2 linked regions of the Oryctolagus cuniculus genome follow. The protein of the gene in region 2 interacts with the protein of the main gene of each other region in a biochemical or structural test. Links are inferred from orthologs where the notes say so. Each region holds a gene or a part of one and is shown on either strand. Other genes may lie near its edges.

What was found.
Region 1: the proteins of USO1 (region 2) and STX5 form a complex in vitro, tested with the Homo sapiens proteins (2 studies listed by BioGRID). The link is inferred for Oryctolagus cuniculus from reciprocal best matches to the Homo sapiens genes USO1 and STX5.

Annotation. Positions count from the first base shown.
Region 1 is NC_091432.1:8,759,460-8,763,520, forward strand, and holds the start of STX5 (syntaxin-5), read left to right. Parts: upstream 1-1,252; 5' UTR 1,253-1,256; coding exon 1,257-1,484; intron 1,485-1,710; exon of another isoform or gene 1,711-1,994; intron 1,995-2,121; coding exon 2,122-2,361; intron 2,362-3,219; coding exon 3,220-3,290; intron 3,291-3,454; coding exon 3,455-3,510; intron 3,511-3,627; coding exon 3,628-3,698; intron 3,699-4,061. Other genes in the region: WDR74 (WD repeat-containing protein 74), read left to right, coding at 1-29, 307-486; TEX54 (testis-expressed protein 54), read left to right, coding at 678-750, 865-1,079. UniProt on the Homo sapiens protein: Mediates endoplasmic reticulum to Golgi transport.
Region 2 is NC_091439.1:90,095,866-90,098,308, reverse strand, and holds the end of USO1 (general vesicular transport factor p115), read left to right. Parts: intron 1-188; coding exon 189-404; intron 405-926; coding exon 927-1,022; 3' UTR 1,023-1,931; downstream 1,932-2,443. UniProt on the Homo sapiens protein: General vesicular transport factor required for intercisternal transport in the Golgi stack; it is required for transcytotic fusion and/or subsequent binding of the vesicles to the target membrane.

The DNA.
Region 1 (4,061 bases), on a different chromosome or scaffold from region 2:
TGCTCCTGTCAGGCAGGGATAACTGGGAGGTAAGTAACTGGGTCTGGGAACACGGCAGCCGAGGACAGAGAGAGGCAGCTGGAACACACAGGGGGCTGCCCAGTTACTACATTTTCCTGGGGTGTGAACAGCTGAAGTTCTGACAGGGTGACTGCCAAGCGTGGCATCTCCAGGAGCTTGGACAGCAGTGGTTGCTGGGAAAATGACAAAGGTGCTGATGCTCAGGGGAATTGCCTCCCAGGCAGGGCTTCCTTCCCGGGGTCTGTCACTGTGCCTCTGACCCTGCACTTCGTTCCCACTCTCCAGGATGAACCCCAAGAGCCTCAAGAGCCCGGTGAGCTGCCCTCAGAAGACAGGGAGACGGATGAACTTTGGGCATCTTTGGAGGCAGCTGCCAAGCGCAAACTCCCTGATTCGGAGCCGGCGCAAGGGGCTCTCCAAAGCAGACGGAGAAAAAAGAAGCGCGCTGGCTCCACCAGCCCTTGAAGACCCTGTGCCCGTTTTGTAAATAAACAGCTCAATACCCGCATGACCCTGAGCCTTTTGTGATGGGAGGAGAGGGGTGGCTTGTGGGGGCTCCCTGCGCTGGGGCAGTGGGATATCTGACGTCACAAAAGCCGGGCCTGGAGCCAGGCAGGCTGGCGTGGGTGGTACGGAGTCAGGGGCCGTGCGGGGCCATGGGCTGCTGCCAAGACAAGGACTTTCCGACCACCGATGAGCAGGCCAAAGAGTTCGAGGGAGCTGGGGAAGGTAGGACCAGGGGCGGTGAGGGCCCGGAGGCTGGGGAAGGCGCTGCCCCGGGGGAGAGCCCCGGAGGTCCGGCCGGGGAGGGTAGAGGTGATTTCAGCGGCCTCGTCCCTGCAGGCGCCCACGGAATCGATTTGGACTCCCCTGGCCACCGGAATCGCAAGTCGAACGAAAGCCTTCTGATCACCGTGCTGTGGCGGCGGCTATCCCTGTTCAGCCGCCGGGGCTCCTCGCGGTCCGGCAAGAGGCAGTCAGAGCAGATCCAGAAGAGGGAGAGTCCCATCCCGGAAGACAAACCTGAGGAAAGCCAGGAAGAGCCGGAGAAGGGGTGACCCCAGCCCTGCTGTCAGTCCGCCGCAGCCCTCAGAGAATAAAATTTCTAACGTGGACCCGCCAGATGACTCGTACCCTCTGCAGCCCGCTCCGTGGGCTGTGGGCTCAGGGGCCCCGGAGGCGGCGGGCTCTTTAAGGCTCCGTCCCGGGGCGGGGCTACGGCGGCGGCCCGGCCAATGGGAGGGGGGAGCCACGCTTGCGTCTGGGCGGGGGGCGTGCCTCCCAGGTCGCCGGGCTCGAAAAGGCGTGGCGCTGCCTTCCCGTCACGGGGGTGGGGTTACGTGTGGGTGACGTGGCGGACCCTAGGTTTCGGTCGGATTTCGGCGGCTTCAGAGCCCGGGGAGGAGGCGGTGACGGTCCGGGAGGCTGTGGCAGTAGCTGCGGCGGCAGGCGGCAGACAGGAGGTAGGATTCGTCCTGAGGGCGTCTGGCCGCCGTGTAGCTCCTGGGCAGCGACTTCACCGGGGTAGCGACGGGCGGGGGAAGGGAGCCGGGAACGAGCGGGCAAGTCCTGCCGGCCCGGCTCCGGGTGAGCGAATACCACGACGTCCAATCAGGAAAGCCTCTGTTGAGAAAGACGTCGGCGTTAGCTAATGAGTGGCGCAGTCCTTCAGGAGGCGGGACTTTGGCAGGGGTGGGACTTCCTGTTTCAAATAAACACCTAGAGGTTCCCTCTCCGCCCACCGAAGTGTGTCCCCCCGCAGGAGGTCCGTCACCGTTTCTTCCCGAAGGGTCAGAGGCAACCACGGCTATGCGGGGGCCCAGTTAGGGGCTGGGGCAGTTGCACAGGCCGGGCTGGAGCCTCAGGGCCTCGGGACCTGGCTCTGGCTCCGCCTCGGGGCCCCCTACCCGCGCTCTGGCCGCCGGAGCCGAGTTGGAAGAGTCTGAGGAGGGTTCGACCCGGGCCCGGAGGAGGTGGGGCCCTTCCCGCTGCGCGCCGGCCCCGGGGTCTGCGGGTGGCCCAGGATTTGCTGGTTGGAGGGGCGTTTGTGGGGAAGGCGTTTGCACTGCTTGGGGAATGACTCTCTCCCCTCCACGACAGAGGTTATGCGTCTCAATGATCCCGCGGAAACGCTACGGGTCTAAGAACACGGATCAGGGCGTCTACCTGGGTCTCTCGAAGACACAGGTCCTGTCCCCTGCAACTGCTGGCAGTAGCAGCAGCGACATCGCCCCTCTGCCCCCCCCAGTGGCCCCGGCCCCCTCCCCTCCCGACACCATGTCCTGCCGGGATCGGACCCAGGAGTTCCTGTCCGCCTGCAAGTCGCTGCAGAGTCGTCAGGTAAGGCCCAGAGTGGGAGCCTCGCCCACATCCGGGCAGGTCTGCTCCCCACCATCAGGGACACGTGGGCTTGGGAAGAAGTTCCCCGGAGGGTCAGATTGATGGAATGCCTAAAGGGCTGCAGGGTTTTTGGATAAGGAATAAACCTAGAAAGAGCCACCCGCTGTGGGGCACGCACCTTGAATTGTGCTTGCAGTGTGGTCCTGCCGTGAGTTTGCTCTGCGACTCTGGGGAAATTAAAATTTTCAGTCTGTAAAACAGAGAGAGACGGTGGGGGAGCAGAAGGAAGTTTTCCGGATGGGCCGTTTTTATCCAAGTCATTTTGGAGTGTTTGTTTAAGAATTAGAGTCCCTAGTTTAAGTCCCCAGATTTTGACACTAAGTGGGACCTGAGTAAGTATTTTAAAATATTTTTATTGTTCAGCTCTTGTTGACGAACTTCTCTTCTCTATGGTCTCCAAGAGCTTTCGGGTTCTCCTCTTTGATGCCGATGTGAGGGATCTTTCTTTAGTGCCGCAGGTGGTTGGTTAAAATCCTTTACAGCCTTTATGTTATCTAGTTTTGGCAGCAACTATCAGAGGTGAGTGGATTGTCTTCATCTTCAGGGAGAGGAAACAGATGTAGAAGAGTTTAACTTGCGCTAATTCTGCTAATTAGTGGTAGAGTCCAGACTTGAGCTTAAGCCTGCCCGTCTTCAGATCTGGCTTCTGAACACTATTGCTGATAAATCTAGGCCAGCAGAACTGGAGAGAGCTTGGGGGGAGCACGAGAGAGAGCTTGGGGGGAGCCCGAGAAACGTTGAAAGCTGGAAGTGGGGAGGAGGAAAGTGAAGTTTTCACCTCCGGACATTGCTTTTCAGAATGGAATCCAGACAAATAAGCCGGCCCTGCGTGCTGTCCGACAGCGCAGTGAATTCACCCTCATGGCCAAGTGAGTTGAGAGCAGCTTTGTGGCAGGGTGATACAGTGTCTGGAAGGAAGCTTGCTTTTGGTGACTTGGCTGTAAGGGCTGGGATTGGCTGTGCTAAGAGCTAGTGTGAGAATAAGCCCTCTCCCTCCCCCTTCCATGGTGTTCTCACTGTTGGTCATTTGCAGGCGCATCGGGAAAGACCTCAGCAACACATTTGCCAAGCTGGAGAAGCTGACAATCCGTAAGTATTCATGGGATCTTTTACTGGTTGTGGGATGAACCAAAGAGGGCAGAGGAGCCAGCCCCCTGAGCCTTGCCTTTGTTCTCACCCACCGTGGCTTCTTGTTTATCTCTGTAGTGGCAAAGCGCAAGTCCCTCTTTGATGATAAAGCAGTGGAAATTGAGGAGCTAACATACATCATCAAACAGGTGAGCTGCTAGGTAACTATCTGGAGAACCCAGCATTCTGTTCATCACTGCCATCGTTTTCCACTTGCCAGAGCAAGCTTCTAGAGCCAGCCCTAAACACCCTTCTCCAGTAAGTCAGTGGACACATCTGTTGACACAAACAGGAAGCGAGTCTTGCATTCTCAACAACAAGAGGAGAAGTATTCCAGCTGCATAAACCCATACTTAAAATGAGTAGGAGGCAAGTGGTACTGAAAAAAGCTTACGAAAGGCTGGCGCCATGGCTCACTAGGCTAATCCTCCGCCTTGCGGCGCCGGCACACCGGGTTCTAGTCCCAGTCGGGGTGCCGGATTCTGTCCCGGTTGCCCCTCTTCCAGGCCAGC
Region 2 (2,443 bases):
CCCAGGTGTCAACCACTAGGTCAGATGCTAGCTCTTCTTAGGACTTTTTGAGGAATGGTGAAATACTGCTATATGTTAAACTGCTTTTCAAATAACCATCCTTGATGAGTAGTGAAACAAATTCTTGTGTTACTAGATATGTGTGTGTCATGTCTGATATTTGATATTCCCACCTTTTTTTTTCCTAGAATGAAATTAAAGCTTTGTCTGAGGAAAGAACTGCTATTAAAGAGCAGTTGGATTCGTCTAACAGCACCATCGCCATTTTACAAAACGAGAAAGACAAACTAGAGTTGGAAATCACTGACTCCAAAAAAGAACAAGACGATCTCTTGGTGCTGCTGGCTGATCAAGATCAGAAAATACTGTCTTTGAAGAATAAACTCAAGGATCTTGGTCATCCAGTAAGATTGGAATGTTGATGTGTATTATGTGTTATGTTATTTTATAATGCCTGCTGTAGAACGTTAGTGCCGCAGGGAGAAGTGGTGCCTGTATTACAGACACGGTTACATGGGCTCATGAAGTGGTGTCTGTCCTCTGTCTTGCTTCCACTGTGTTCAGTGAATTGACCCAAGACACAGATTAGGTTCAGTCTCCAGCACTTGTAGACTGTCTTTTGGATCCTAAACCTGGAAAGTGAATTGATTTGATTGTCCCTGTGATGACAGGACTGTTACACCCAAGTGTGCCAATGTCTTTGGCCATATTCGGTCCGGATTTGTGCAGAGGGTGGGTAGCCATCTGTCAGCAAAGTTAACCAGTAGATCTCATTTGTGTTAAAAACGACAGGGAGACTTGTGCATTAAATCAGGTGGCTTATATTCTGTAATTATTAGAATACGGAATTTATCAACAGTGTGTATTGTTACCTAATGAATGTGAAGTAAACACATCTTAATGTTAAACTTGTATTTTTCCCTTAGGTTGAAGAAGAGGATGAACTTGAATCTGGAGACCAGGAAGATGAGGATGATGAAACGGAAGATGGTGGCAAGGACCAGGATCAGGGCTACCTTTAAAATCCCTAGGGATGGTAGAGATCATATTGTAACTCAGAAGGTAGAATCCTGAGACAGTGCTTTGGTTTGCCTCCACAAGAAAATAAAGGTTTAGAAACCAAGTGGAAAACACTCACTAATAAGGCTATTGATGTATTTTTTAAAGGTTGCCACCCATGTTGAAAACCCTAAAACTCTTAGCTTTATGCAGAACACACATCTTATATTTAAATTCATCTGAACTATCCAAAAATATGATTTGCATAGAATTTCAGACACCAAAAATATACCATTTGAAGGCATGTGGTGGCAGTGCTATTTGCCTTAGTTCATTGGATGTTTTCTTTTCAGAACCTATGACTATGTACTAACACATTTTGATTTAATATATATTGAATGGGAATCATTTCTAAATGCAACCTTTGAGTTCTTAGCTGATGATGGTTTCCTTTTAAAGAAATGCTTTTACATAAAGGCAGGTTAGCGTGGGCTGGGGGTAATGCAGATCCCCGCCATCCGTCGGAGCAGGGGAGGCCAGTGCAGCACAGGGGTTCTTCCAGCTGGCGGCGTCCTGTAGCCGGTGAGGAAACGGAAGGGTGCTGGCGCAGCGGCACAGCGATGTGAAGGGTGCTTCCGAGAAGCTCTGGCGACAGTGTGTTAACACATTTGGTTTCTTTTTATTTTAAGCTAAACATCAAAAGCAAAATTACAAGTTAACAGCTCACACAGCTCAGATTTAGCACTGTTACTTGATTATCATCAAACATATTATGTTCCTAGTTTTAAAAAGACCCAAACTATGATTTATATAATTTATTGGCATTTGTGCTGAATAGGTTTAAGTCAGATAATAGATTTTTAAAAAGCAAATGAAGCAGTGTGTCAAAATTTAATGTTTTCGTAATAAAAATAGATAATATGTTCACTTAATCCCTGGTCATGGTTCCCTTTTTTTAGATTTTGAAAGAAGTATTTGATTGCTAATGGACGGTGAGGCAAGTGGGAATAGTGAGGGGAATTCTCTTACCCTGAATACTTTATTGTAACTTGTCACGTAGCGGCTCATCATTAGAACTGGTGCTTGAGGGAGCTTGTGGAGCCACTGTGGAAATGCAGGAGGTTGGAGAGGGCTTGGGTGTTTCTAAATTCAGAGTTGGTGTTCTTAGCAATACTTTGCTAAAATGCGTTTACGTCAAGGCAGGGCAGCCTGGGCTGTGGGGGTTAATGCGTAAAATCTGCCTCTTGGGTCCAGGAGTAGTTTGAGCAGTCCACTGTGAGGCCGAGGCTTTTGCAAGAGGAGTGGTGTTCACACCTGAGAGAGGCAGGTGGCCGCCTGTGACAGCATCTGTGAGTACTGCACGGAGTCCCCTGCCACTGCCGCTGCCATCCTGAGACAGTGTTTGCCGTCAGAGAACTACGTGACTGGCACTGGACAAGCCCAG